Linked DNA regions of Struthio camelus. Each later gene encodes a partner of the first gene's protein in a complex. Links are inferred from orthologs where the notes say so. Each region holds a gene or a part of one and is shown on either strand. Other genes may lie near its edges.

Evidence for each region. Proteins that work in one complex are often made in the same cells at the same time.
Region 2: the proteins of KIDINS220 (region 1) and XPR1 are in contact, whole or in part, in a cryo-EM structure (PDB 9JXQ), measured with the Homo sapiens proteins. The link is inferred for Struthio camelus from reciprocal best matches to the Homo sapiens genes KIDINS220 and XPR1. Residues at the interface, in NP_065789.1 of Homo sapiens: Glu36, Cys37, Gln39, Asp70, Trp72, Met102, Trp105, Trp110, Tyr113, Lys114, Val138, Ile142, Trp143, Gly146, Arg147, Ser166, Asp167, Lys168, Tyr169, Gly170, Trp176, Arg179, Lys180, Gln198, Glu199, Gly200, Ala201, Ser203, Lys234, Arg267; in NP_004727.2 of Homo sapiens: Leu95, Lys189, Lys190, Gln193, Glu197, Ala200, Asn204, Glu205, Ala636, Asp637, Asp638, Leu641, Leu642, Gln644, Met645, Met646, Asp647, Gln648, Asp649, Asp650, Val652, Arg653, Asn654, Arg655.

The regions. Positions count from the first base shown.
Region 1 is NC_090944.1:25,362,338-25,369,387, forward strand, and holds the start of KIDINS220 (kinase D-interacting substrate of 220 kDa), read left to right. Parts: upstream 1-4,050; 5' UTR 4,051-4,202; intron 4,203-7,050. UniProt on the Homo sapiens protein: Promotes a prolonged MAP-kinase signaling by neurotrophins through activation of a Rap1-dependent mechanism. Provides a docking site for the CRKL-C3G complex, resulting in Rap1-dependent sustained ERK activation.
Region 2 is NC_090949.1:6,778,790-6,785,822, forward strand, and holds the start of XPR1 (solute carrier family 53 member 1), read left to right. Parts: upstream 1-4,026; 5' UTR 4,027-7,033. UniProt on the Homo sapiens protein: Inorganic ion transporter that mediates phosphate ion export across plasma membrane.

The sequences.
Region 1 (7,050 bases):
TTTACATCTTGCAATTCTTCATTGGAAAGGTCATTTATAGGAGCAAAAGAGTTATTTCTCTGCATGGGTTACTCACCATCTTTCCAAGTGAAATAAGCTATAGCAGCAAAAGATCTCTCCATTACAAAATGAGTAATGTGACTGCCTGCGTGCTCTGTCACAGAGTAGCATCTTTCCATACGAAGGCTTTTGAGGACACATCGGAAGACAAAAATACACATGTTAAGTGGTCATGATTTGGATCAATGTAGGTTAAAGAAATCAGAAAAGCAAGGAAACAAAGCAGTTTAAGGACTGTAGTAATTATAATCAGTAGAATAATAATCTTGTATAATTATTAAAGCACAGTAGCCATTTTTTAATGGATGTGTCTGTATTGGTCAGGTATTGACATCTGAAATAGTGGGACAATTGTGTGCTGGTGACAGTTACTATAGCAGTTAAGAACAACTTCAGTTGTTTAAAAATTAAAGATTAAGAATGGTGCATCTATTATAAGGGAGGATCCACAAAAAGGTCAATAATTACTTCAAAAAAAGTCATGTTTTTCAAAAGTGTTGCTAAATTTCATCCATGATTTGGAAGCATTGCACACCCAAGAGATAAGGACGGAGAGCTGCAGCTATGCCAAGCTAAAAGCATGCGGTGAGCAGATAAAAGCATCTTCAGACTTGGATGACACAAACCTATTCAAAAGGGTAAGGAATGAAATGCCCATTTTTGTGAAACTGAGCGGCTGCTTTGTTAATCATGTTGTTTTTCTTGCTGCTGATAGTGCTTTGGGATTATATACAGTAGCTTTGCTTCATTGTACAAATTATTTCATTGGTCTCATGCACTTTTGGGTACTGCTAAGAGTTGTTTTCTAATGTTTTCTTCTTGACCTGTTATTTGAACTGGTGTTAGATTCTGATTCTGAGTGATGTCAGGTGTTAGATGTTTAAACTAACGTTTAGCTGCTAGGTGCGAGGGTACTTGTTAAATATTTGTTTTTTAAAGTTGGCTGAGATGCTATGAAGTTATTGCAGGGTGTAGAGGTCTATCAGACAGGGGATTATGAATCTTTCTCAGCACCAGTCTGTTGTGAATTCTCACATTTATGTCTCTCTTTGGCTGATATCCAGAGAACTCTAAATGCAACTAGCTGATTTGTGGTAACAAACCGACTTTCAGATCAGGTTGCTTCAGGAATAAGTTGCATCTGTAGTGGGACCTTTTTTCCATATGTGTCATCTTTTTAGTCATGAAAGATCTTAGCCGCAATTTTTTAAGTTGAGCTGTTCAAGTGTAAATCCTGAAGAAGACGGGGAAAGTGGAAAGGAGAAAAGAGAAAATACTTGGTTGGAAGAAAATTTTAATTTTGTTGGAGTATATGCTCTACTACACCAATTTACAAATGTCAACATGTACTACCTTTTTATAGCACATCAATAAAAACCAAACATTTCTAAATATCTGGAAAAATTCTACTCTGAAATTTTAACGACGTCATTCAAACTATACATTAGCAATATGTCAAATTAAAAGTTTTTGGGATGCCTGTTGAGAGATTATGTGCTTTACTGAACAAAAAAAAAAAAGTGTTTTATGGAAATACTTTCTGTGAAATCCTAACCCAACTGGATTACAATTTCAACCCTTCAATGGGGCTAGGGTTTGTTCTCTTATGTGAATTAATCATTGATGGGAATATGTTGTTCCCCATGTAAAAAGCAATGTACAAGTGGAAGAGGACAAGAGAGATGGATCCATCTGTATTGAAAGGGGAAGAAAGTGAGGGATGATACAGCTCTGCCTTCCCTGTTTTGCCACCCCCAGTGTGTGTTTAGTTCCCTCATACGCAGGAGGAGCTACTGCCTCTGCCTGACAAATTTGTGGCTGTGAGGTGAGAACACAGCTAGAATGTGATATGGGTAAAGCTATGTTGTTAGAATAAGAACTTAAGACAAAGAGGAGATCATGAGGTGAAAGACTAATATATGCTGTTTGTGTAAGCTCGTGTAGAAAAAAAACTCTGAAAACGTTTGAGAATCCATAGACCTCAGGAGACTAAAATAAGCAATCTCATTATATTACAGTTTCTCTTATAATACACAAATACACAAGACCAGGTAGATGATTGACACATCGGGACCATCTTTGAATGATGGTCCATGTGCATAAATTCAAGTAGTTTAGATTGAATCCCTGCAGTTTCTGCTGCGTTGAAAAGTGCTCATTCATCCTCCGTCTTTTCGTATCACGTGTCTATGGCATAAATTAGAGCAGCGCGTGTCACGTAAGCACTGAATGTGCTTTAATTCCTCCCAGCCTTTCAGCTGAATCGATGTTTTGCTGTAGATCTAAGTGGATTTAGCTTTTGATTTTAGTGGAACTCGCTTTTTTCCTTGTATTAGTGTTTCGTTTTGTGTGTGTAAGGAAAACTTGTTGATCTCATTTGGGTGCGAGGATCTTTGCTATTATCTCAAGAACCTCTATTGTTTTTTCAAAAACTCAGTGTAGCGTGTCTTTAGGAAGCTAACAATGCAAACTGTTTAAAGAGATGACAATCCCAGCGCTGTGAGGATTTTGAATGAACACTTTGATCTTTAGGAATCCTTACAGTAACAGTATAAGGCCTATACTCCCTGAAGAACTGGTTCTTTACTGGTTTGTTATCATCCCAGGTTTAAACTACGTTCCATGGTCTGTCAAGGAGACATTATTACTATAGTCATTACAGAGCATCTCTGATCCAGTTGTCCCAATGCATTCTGTCATTAAATAAAGACGAATCTATTGTTATGGGTTTGAATTGTACACAAGATGAAAGGGCATATTTCTACAGTCACTGGGTGTATTTTACCATGGCAGAAGGTACAGAGTTGAAGAATGCCACTAGCACGGTTGTAAGACATGTTGGAAATTGCATAGGAAGTCCAAAGCCATTTATGACCCAATGTACAAATCCGCCGGCACAGTGAAGTGAATTTTAAAAATATTTGAGAAACTGCTTTGGAGCCTGAAAGCAGTCCGGGGCTAGGTTTGACAGATGCTGAGTTAAGAGCAGCTCTGAACTTTGTCCTTTGTTGAGGTGAACTTTGTCCTGTGTTGTCTGCAGCGTGTTGAGGTGAGATTTCTTCCATGTTAAACTGCAGGTGAGGACTTCCGCTGGTAGAGAAACACTCTTATTCATCAGGTGGCCATTTTTAACAAAAAACCTTTCTTCTTGCTTTTAGAAAACATCCTCTCTGAGGATGAATGCTAAAGTAAAAGCACTATGCGTTTCAGACGCTCTCCACTTTGGTGGCATCTCTAAGAAATGTCCACCTTGAAGTACATAGAGCTGGCCTTGCACTTGTACTTTGGCTAACCTTTATGGCAATGCACGAGCTCGGTCAAGACCCTATTCCTGCTAACTTGTTGGGGAGGTCAGACGCAATGTCAAGTTTATAATGTGAGGGAGAGATGTTCTGCCTTGGCAAAATAGCCTGTAGTAGGTGCAAAAATTAATGATCCCTTAAATGGCTTATGTGTACCGTCTCTGTGAGCAATGCTCTTTTGGATGGGCTCGCGGGGGGCCGCCGCCGCCTCAACCGCCGCCCGGAGCCGTTGGGCGGGCTCGCGGGGGGCCGCCGCCGCCTCAACCGCCGCCCGGAGCCGTTGGGCGGGCTCGCGGGGCCGTCTGCACGCGCGCTGCACGGGCGCTGACGGCGGTGACTCAGCCCTGCCAGGGCTCCCGGGCAGGGTTTTACGGGTCCCCACGAGCGTTGGGAGCTAACCCGTCATTAGCCGATTATAAGGCGGTTACTGCCGCGCCCGCCCTGCTGGCTATTCATCGAGAGGCTCCTCATGCCCGGGTGTAGCCCTCCGCCGGGCAGGGACAGGGGCAGGGCAGGGCAGGGCAGCCTGGCCGCCCCCGCCGGCCCCCCGGCTGCGTCTCTAGGGCACAGCAGGGCCCCTCCACGCCCGGCCCGCAGTTGCGGCGGGGGCAGGCGGCGAGGGGTGCGCCCTCCCGCCGGGGTGCGACCGGCGCCCCCGCCCCGGCCGCGCTCACGTGACCAGCCCGGCGAGGGAAGGGGAGGGGGGAGGACGGCAGAGAGAAGTAAGATGGCCGCCGCTGCCAGGGGAATGTGAGGAGCGCTGCGAGCCGCTGCCTCCCTGTCAGTCCCTGCCTGGGCCAGGGGAGCCGCCCGCAGGGGCCGAGTCCCGCCGGCTTTGGGGTGAGCGGCGAGAGGAGAGAGGGGAGCGGGGCAGGACAGGGTCGGCCAGCCGCGGTGGGAGGGCGCCGCTTGGAGCTGCCAAACAAAGGGCGCCGCGGGGGCCCTTGCCGCCGCCCCCGCCCAGCGGCGGGGCCGGCCGCCGTGTGTGTGTGCGCGCCCCGCGGAGCGGGCCGGGGTCTCGCTCGGCCCGGGCCTGCCCCTCGGGCTCCGCTGAGTGTTTCTGGCAGTAGCAGCGGTGCGTGGCGTGTTGCCAGCGCTCCGAAAGGTCCCCTCTTTGTGTAGGTGCGCGCACCGCCATGGCCGCTCAGCCGGCCCTGAAATCCTCCCTCTCCTGCACGGCGGTGGGAATAGAACAGACTCCAGGAGTGCCGCAGGCACGGTGAGATGTAGCTGTCTGCCCGCGCCGGGAGAAGGGGGAGCCTCTTTTACCGTTTTTGTCTCATTGCTAACTCGGAAAGACAGACCTGTAAGCAAAATATATAGACTGACCTATGAGCAAAGTTTTGTTTTTAGTTTCTGAGGTAAAGGGGCTGAGTTTGAGTATTTAAAGCGTTTGGGACAGGGGTCCGCTGCTTTTCATTTGCTGAAAAATTGGTTGAGTAAAGTGGTTTCTCATCTCTGACTTCTGACCATGGATTAATGTGGGGGTGATACACTAGTATGTTACGTGCATTGGTGACAAACTGATTGAATCATGGAATTAGTTACTGCCCACCACCTGTCAAACAGTGAAGTGGAAGGATTTCAGGAGGTTTTTATGAGGCCAGGATTTTACAGAAAAGTCCACCCTATTTTTGTTTACTGGATAGGCTTTTGAAATGGTAATCTGTTTGAAGATGCAGCTTAGAACTGAAATAATTTTCGCAGTAGTTGTCCGTCATTTTGTGGTGGAAATGTTATGTCACATCGAGTGACTGTAAGGATTGTTCAGTGGAATTGCTATGAATAGTACAGATATCTATGCTATGGATGTTACTGCTGCATGTGAGGAATTAAGAAGCTTGTCAACTTGGTATCATCCAATTTTAAAATAAGACTAAACTAATAAACTTAGTTCTGTTGAATTTTTTCTCAGGGTTAAAGGTTTGTGAAGAAAATGTTTCCAACAAGTTTTCATCTCATGCTGCACTCTCTTTTTCAGGGGGAAGGTGTTCTCACAGACTTACAGGAACTAAATCCTGAAATATCTGTTATTCTGTTAAGTGTAGGTAATGTTGGCCAGTGAGTTTAGAGGCTGTTATGGATAGACGTATACACGTAGAGTATTAAATACTTTGTATTTAAGCCTTGTTTCCACAGCAGACCAAATAAATAACAAGTTACCTACTCAAAATACCTTATAAAATTTAGTTTTGTTTCTCCTTTTTCTTCAGAGGGATGCACGTACAAAGGAGAAATCATGGGGTCTTCTGTTAGACAAAACACAAGAGGAAGAGGCAGCAAGTGTTAGACAAGGGGCGGTAATTTGGCCAGAAGGCTAATCTGTATGGATAGCCTTCAGTGCTTCAAAACTCATTTTAATGAACCTTCAGTTTATGACCTTTGATGCTGTCATCGTTTATTCTTTGTTCTGCAACAGTCGTTTAAAATAATTTCAGAAATTCAGTTATACTGAAAATGCCACTATTTCTGAAATATTAATTAAATATTAATTAATATTAATTCAAAAATAATTTAATAGATCATGATCACAGCCAACTTTTTCCGAAGTGAAAAATACCTGAAAGGTTAGGTTTTTATCATAGAATTTGTGACTGTGACTAACAAAATCTTCATCTTATGATTCAGAGAAGTATTGGGCATGTGAAGCAATGTGATTAAAAAAAACTCTGCTGTAGATTTCTTTGCTTTTATGAGGGTTTTGTACAGGTTCTCACTGAATTGATTTATATTTGTTGGAATAATTTTTTCAAAAAGCTTAACGCTGATGCCTTTTTTGCTTTACTTTCTTTTATTTGAAGTGTTTAAAACCTAAAATAGTACTTTGTAGCACTAAGTATTTTTATTTTATAAGGAAGTTGAACTTTCTCCTGAAATTCAGATGTACTGAGCTATAACTTACTGTTCACTGAACTTATTTACTTTCTGTCTTAAAGATAGATTTGTTTCTCTGGTAACCACTATACCACTATGAGTTACTTTACAATTTTTTCTTTTAGTTGATCTTTTTAATCAGGATAGAATGTAAACATATCTGATGTTCGTTATCAGATTGCGATAGTGACTTTTTGTTTAAATATATAACTATCCAGCCTTGTGTGTGTCATCTCCACTCTTGATTTTCTTGTTTAAAAAAAATCCCATTACTGTAATATTTTAAATTAGGAGGTGCCTAAAATGGGAAAAATTGGACGGAATGAGTTCCATACTTCCAATTTCTTATATTTCTTACTGTTTACTAATATGCACAGTCGCTAATTACAGTTGTAGTGATCTCCTTTTGTGCAGACTTTTTTTCTTCATTATATTTAAGTACAGATTCCAACTTAAAAATGTCTGCATCTCTAGCTGTCTTTTTTTGTCTCTCTTAATATTTACTAATTCTCTCTTCTCTGGTATAAAGTAAATGAAAAGGTGAAGTGGTCTATTAAAGCTTTTTTTAAAAATCTGGATTAAAGGAGTGTGGGTAAGAGACGTAGAAGATATTCTTCCGAATGATAAGGAAAAGCTGAAAATCATGAGGTTATTAGTCAGAATTGAACTTCTGGCAGAAATGTACATTTAGTATTTTTTCCTACCTCTGAGTGCCAGTTAATTATTTAGCATCTCATATAAACTGTTGTGAAAATCTGTTATTTAAACAAAATCCTGGTTGACTCAGTCCCTTATAGAAAGTATCACAGAATGG
Region 2 (7,033 bases), on another chromosome or scaffold:
CGTCCCTCGCCAGCTGCGCAGCATCTGTACGGCAGCTCTGATGCGCATCCACGGGCAGCTGTCGACCCCGGGGAAGGCGAAGGGAGCTGTGCCCTGCTCCCCAGCGGGCGCCGCAGGGCTCACCCCGGCTCCCGCGCCCCGCTCACCGGCCGCCTAACGTCTGCCCGAGGGCCGCGGGCAGGGCAGGAGCAGGGGAGCCGGTACTTCAAGCTGGTGCCGCGCCGGGGAGCCAAACCCCCTTTCGCAGGGCGCCTGGCTCAGGTAGCAGCGCCGCAGGCCGGCTCTGCCCGCGGCCGCTTTCTTCCTGCCGGCTGCCGCCGCTTGCGTGTTGCCGGCCGGTTTGGGGACTTAGCTCCCCTGAGCTGGTTTGTTATCCCGGCGGCGCTGGAAAGGGCAGGCGGCCGCTTGCTTTGTGCCTGTTGCAGCTCCGCGCGCGTCTGCAGCACGGCGGGCGCTTTCGATAAGCGGAGATACGCCCGTATCGAGCGTTTCCTCTACGCAAAGGTGACGGCGGCGTTGGCTACGCGAGCCGGCCACTGCTTCTCCCGCGGGAGCCGTCCTGCCTGTCCGAGCCCCGGGGGCGCCGTGCCCCTGGCCTGCCAAGGAGCCGGCCGCCAGCAGGGCCATCGGGAGGCGGGCGGCAGCATCCCCGGCCCCGGGCAACACCACCAGCTCTGCCAGGGGCCGGGGGAACATGCGATGGCGGTTGTCCCCGGCCGAGCCAGCCGCCAGCCCAGCTCCGTGCAGGCAGTCCTTGCACAAGTACTTGCCCCCACCCCGTACGGCGGGTCCCGCCAGGAGGCAGGCGAGACGGCACGGCCAGGAAGACGCTGGCACGCCAGCCGGGGCGTCGCAGAAGCGGGAACGCGAGCAACTTGCCAAGATCAATGTGCCCTTGTGGCCAAGAAGGCCAAGGGGATCCTCGGGTGCATGAGGAAGAGTGTTGCCAGCAGGTCGAGTGTTGCCTGCCCCTCTACTCTGCCCTGGTGAGGCCACATCTGGAGTACTGTGTCCAATTCCCAGTACAAGAGAGACGTGGCTCCCCAGTACAAGAGAGAGATGGCACTACTGGAGAGAGTCCAGCGGAGGGCTACCAAGATGATGAGGGGACTGGAGCATCTCTCCTATGAAGGAAGGCTGCGAGAGCTGGGCCTGTTCAGCCTGGAGAAGAGAAGACTGAGAGGTGACCTGATCCATGTGTACAAGTATCTGAAGGGAGGGGGGTGCGTTGCGAGGGCGGGGCCAGACTCTTCCCCGTGGTGCCCAGCGACAGGACAAGAGGCAACGGGCATAAACTGAACCACAGGAAGCCCCGTGCGAACGTGAGGACAAACTTCTCGACTGTGAGGGTGACTGAGCCCTGGACCAGGTTGCCCAGAGAGGTGGTGGAGTCTCCTTCGCTGGAGATATTCAAAACCTGCCTGGACGCGATCCTGGGCGATGTGCTCTAGAGGACCCTGCTTGAGCAGGGGGGTTGGACTAGGTGATCTCCAGAGGTCCCTGCCAACCTCGGCCATTCTGTGATTCTGTGATTCTGTGATCTTCCTGGCTGTCTCCCCAGCCCCGGGTAGGATCAGTTTGACCTAAACTGTCTTGACAGATGTTTGCCTGAACGGCTCTTGAAAATCTCCCGGGACGGGGATTTCGCAGCCTTCCCAGGCGGCGTGTTCCCGGGCTGCGCCGCGCAAAGGCAGCAGCGAGAGTGAAATGCATTTGAAGCCCGGAGAAGAGGAAGGAGGACGCTGCAGGCAGACGCGCGGGCTCGGCTGACCTGGATCGGCTTTGCCTGGGGGAAGGTGAGGAGCAGCTCGAGCAGAGCCAAAGGCAGAGGAAAGCAATCCCTTAGTGGCCACGCTTTCGCCGAGGGATTAGCTTCCCTCCTGGGTGCAGCTTCCCTATTTTCGTCAGCTACTTTTCCTTCCAATCAGCGATGACTCCCTGGCTGGGTTTCCAGAGGAGGTATCCGTGTGATCCCAAGCAAACCCCAGGGGAAGCATGCAAGCAATGAGGAGGCGCCGCATGCTTGCCGCTGCGGCCCTGCATACGTTGGCCGTCAGTCAGCCCCTGGGAAAGGTCAGCCTCTTCGTGGTCGTAACGTCAAGATCAGAGGCAGCCACCCTCTCCTAAAAACGCAGCCTGCCGGGGCAGCCTGGCCGGCAAGAGGACGCGCTGTTGTTTTGGCCTTTCGGGCTGCGTTTGAGCATCCATGTGGGTTTTAATAATATCCGCGCTTCCACACGTGGGCGTGCAGCCAGAGGTGAGCTGCTGCCTGACCTTGGGACTTTCTAGATCAGGTGCTTCATTACTGGCTGAGCAAAGTATGGGTCGAATCTTGCCCCGGAGAGCCCGGGGGAGGCGATACATCAGCCCTGCAGGGCATGGCGGGTGCACACAGGCGGCTCAGAGGCCCTGTGCCCGTAGGCTTTTGATGCCCCATGCCTGGTTTCCCCACTGGTGCTCTCCTGCTCGTGCTTCCCCAGCTGTTGGGAGCCGAGTCCTAAATCCACCTCGGCAGCCAGCTCGAGCCTCGATGGGTCGCATTCAGACCACGTGAAACGGGGCACACCTGCGGTCAGAGGCGTCCCCTTGGCTCTCGACGCGTGGTGGCCCTCCGAAATGGGGACAAAGCCGTCATCCTACCCAGCTGGGGAGAGCCGTCCGAGGTTATGGCTCCTGGCTCCTGGCTCCTTGCGGAGCGCTTGGAAGAGGCGAGATCCGTGCTGACCCCCCTGCCAGGGGAATCAGGCCCAGGAAGTGCGTTATCACTGCCCGGTAACCACCGCTTCTCTTGGCATGGAGATACCGCTGCAGGCAGGTTGCCCGAGCGTACAAACGTTGCAACGGACCGCAGCGAATTAGGCTGCACCGCTCCTGATCTGACCGTGTGCGTTGCCTGCGCCCCGGGCACTGGAAAACCCTCTGGTTTCTGATGCTCGTAATCGCTCCCTCGTCCTCCACCCGTCCCCACCCGTGGCGGGCGGGAGAACGCACGGCAAATCAATAGCTCCAGCTCAGGCTGCCGGAGGATTTGTGCGTTTTGCACAGCTGTCTCTAGGAAATCTGATATACCGATCGCGTTTCTCCAGAACGGTAGCGATAAAAGCACCTAACGGGAGCGGCGAACGCGCCTCCGGCGGGCCCCGCGGCGCGCGCGCACCGGGAGGCCCGGGCTGCCTCTCTGCCGATGCTCCCAGGCAGCGCTGTGTCTCCTGGTGCGATTTGCTAAATCCCTGCGTCGCTCCGCGCCAAGCTCGCCACTGCCCTGCTTTCGTTTCCGCGTTCATTTATCTCCCCTCCCTCCCCAGCTGCGGCAGCGAAGCACCCGCTCCCCCGCCAGAACGAGAAGTGATTGCCTCGGCACGGCCGCTTCTTCCCTGCGAGGCAGAAAATAGCCGTTTTCCGCCGCTCCCCTGCCTCGCCAGCCCGTTTCTGCAAGCCAGGGCTTCGCGGGAGGCCGCGGCTTCGCCGTACCTTTCGTTAGGCCTGAGGCCGGGGGCACGTTGCTGGCGCTCCTGCCGGAGAAAATAGCCGGTGCTCACGTCCTCCCAGCGTCAGCCTCTTTTTTTTTCCGCCCCCCCCCCCCCCCCAATGAGCCCCCAATGAGGTTTTGGTGGCGGGGAGATGAGTTTGCCGCAACATCTTCGCGGCTCCCCCTGCTTTTGACCTGCTGGTTTCGAAGGAAGGAGGTGTGAGCAACGGCCCATTCGAAATGTCCCCTCCTGAGACAAACCAACCCTTTAAACAGCCAGGTGGCTTTAAAGGTCGGATGCCCGGGGAGGAGGCCGGCTGCTTTGTTCAGAAGAAGGGCCTAGGAATAGTTGTCTGTGGGTGTTGTGCGTTGTCTCCTGCTTTGCAGAACCTTCTTCTTCCTGATTTTGTCAATGCCGTTAAGGAAAATTTCCCCTCTGAAAGACTGTTTCTCTAAAGCCTCTTCTGAAGACTGTTTCTCCCCAGCAAAGCAGGATCTTTAAAAATGCAATTATTTTTTTAAAGATGCTATTTATAAATTATTCTATACGCTCTCAACAAAGCAAGTGCCAGACTGCGCTGGCAGAAAGCCCACTCCTAAATTCTTCTTGCTCGGTTTAAAAATGCAAATAATGTTGTTTCTTGTATTTTCTCCTAGCTAAAACAGCATGGGAGAAAATCACAGCGCAAATCAGTTCCTGGGAAAGAGAGAGAGAAGGATCAGAGGAACGTGGGCGCCTGGGCCGAGCAAAGGCCCTTCGTGCCGTACAGTCACAACAGCATGACTTAACGCCGCTGGGAAGCGGGAGAGGGGAGGCAGAGCTTAGCAGCTCTGAAGCTGCTCTGCTTTACAGCAAAGGCTGGGTTTGCCCAGCAGCGCGAAGGGAGCCCTAGTCTCCCTTTGACACCCGGCTCCGCCGCAGTCCGACCTTCTCCCGGGTGCAGAGCGGAGCCGCAGAGCGTCCTGCCCTCTGCGAGGGGCAGCAAGGTCTAGGCCCAGAGGTGGACGTGCTCTGGACACGAGGCGTCGGGAGCTGCGATCTGTGTCCATCCTCAGCAGGGATGTCTCCTGCCATCCAGACCCCAGCTCCAGGCAGAAGAGAGCGGAGGCCTGAGCGCGTGGCCCTTCCTCTTTTATTTAGCGCTCCTCCTCCCCTCGTGTTTACTTCCTTCCCTTAGTCGCTAGATGTGCGGAGCTGGAAGGTTTGAAATGTTTAGAAGACTAGGAAAGCCCCTAGTCCCAGCGGAGCAGCAAAAAACATTGTTCCTCGGCCAAGCGTGCTCCCAAAGCACATCTGACACGGGAGGCAGATTTAGGCCAATCAGATATTTAAGCAAACTGACCTGTTGCTACAGAACATGGTGAGGGTTGGTAAGAACGATCCCAGCCTCTCTTCTACCTCTGCTGTCGTCGCCTGTGCTAGTATAATAGGAATAAATAGCATTTCCTACCTGCTTTACGTTGGGGTAGAGAAATATCCAAGGGACAAAGGGAAGGGAAGATCACAAATTATTTTCCGTTGCTGAATTTGCAGGCCATAGTCGCACAAGATACTCACGTGCCACGCATCACAAGGTGCGGTACGGATCTCATACAATGCACCCAGTAAATATTAAAGAGAATATTTATTTCAGAATCTGTTCTTGTTCCCCATGTAGCAGGTTATCTCTGGAAGCTCTACTAGGTTCAAAGGGTCGAAACTGCGGAGGCCCACCTCTCACGCCTGCTCCCGCTGAACTCGGTGCTGCTCGGAGCGGCAGCCGAGTCAGGCGCGAAGTGATTTCATCTGGTACAAGTTTGCGACGGTAACGCATCAAAAGCTGGTGACCTGTTAAATGTTAGTCAAGCTGTGACATAGTGGTTAGCTCTCCCTTAAGGTCAGTACTGGGGAGGTCGCTGAGTGTGAAGCTTCTGATGAAGGGCGCTAAAGCTCTATTCATTAAATGGTTTTCTGCAAACGTAATTAAAAGATGGTGTCAGCGAGCTCGGACGTCGCTGCCGCACGTTCCGCTCTTGCTGCTGGGTAAATCTCAGAGCAAGCAAGAGCGCTCACAAATCAGAGGTCCCTGGGCCGCTGACAGTAGCATCCCGCGAAATCACTGCAGCAAGTGAGCTCTGTGCGCTGACGGTCGGCGCGTGCTCAGGCTAAAGTCAGTGTGAGTTTTGCTCTGCGTAGCCGTGCAACACGGCGCGGAGTAAAGCTGAAATGCAAAGAGCCCCTGGGCTTTCGGCTGGAACAGGAGCATTTGTTTCTTTCCAGACCCAGCGAGCCCTGGGCGAGGGGAGACGATGGGCAGAGCACCGCCGAAGAGCCGTCGGACCGCGTGCAACCCGGGCAGGAGAGGACGACGTACGCCCCGCCAATATGCAGCCCTCCATAGGCGCCGGAGATGCCCGAGGCCGAGCACAAAGCGGTTTCCGGGAGGCTTTGCGTCGCCTGAGCCGTGCAAAGGGAGAGACCTGACCTTCTGCGTTATAACACAGCACCGATTGCTCCAGATCCTCGGGATATCCGTGCTTTAAAGGGCAGCGGCGCCTCTGGGCGGGTGGGCTTGCTGGTAGCCCCGCCGTGCCTTACCCCGCTCCAGCGAGGGGGCTGAGCCCGGCGCCCCCGGACAGCGCCTTTGCGACCGCGTGGGGCGAAGGCGATGGCTTGTGAAAGGCAACAGGCTCTGTGTGTTTTACGTAACTTTCGGAGAAATCTCCCTTTTTCTTTGCGGTGTCCTTTCTCTCTTTTCCTTCCACCCCCGGCTTTTTGTGGCCTAATTTTCCTCCTCCCTAAATTCTTTCTCATCCTTCCTGCGTTTTCTTCTACTCTTCCCCTTCTTCCTCGTTCTCACCCTTTTCCCTGGCCGATACCCCTCCATGCCCTTCTCTCCCCCCCGCCCCGTCTCGCCCCTCCCAAGCGCCCCCCGCTCTCCCTGCCCCACTTGTCCCCGTCCCATCCCAAGGGAGCAGCCCCAAGCGGACGCCCGGGGTGGGGGGCGAGGGCACCCTCTCCCTCCCCACGGCAGGCAAGGGAGGCCCCCGGGGACTGCCGTCCGCAGGGAGGAGAAGCCCGGCGGGGCTGCCCATCGCATCCGCCGCCGAGGCGCCGCGTCTCCACCCAGACCCGCTTCTCGCCCGGCTGCCGGAGGGGATCAAATCTCCGGCTCAACAGCTGCAGCCCAGCGCCGGGTCCCGGTCCCCTGCCAACCACCGGCCGGGCGGGCAGCCCGGTCCGCCGGGAGCTGATGCGCGCAGGAGCCAAATTAGAGCTGTGCCGGGGCTGCCGCCGCTTGCTCCGGGGCCGGGCCGAAAACCCGAAGGAGCGCAGAGCCGGTCGCGGTGCAGCAAGAAAGAGGAACGGGGAGAAGGGGAAAAACACCAGCTGGCTGCCGGCAAAAGTCCGAAAAGAAAGCGGAAGAGGAAGCGCGTGCCTGCACGTCCTCGTGCAAAATGTAGTCACGCTCTAGGACATGGGTTGTTTAACACCGCCCGGCACAGACGGTCGAGGTGCGCTCAGCAGCGCCTCGGTAACTGGTGCCTTTCGAAGGAGCCTTTCGCTCAAAGCTCAGCCCAGCC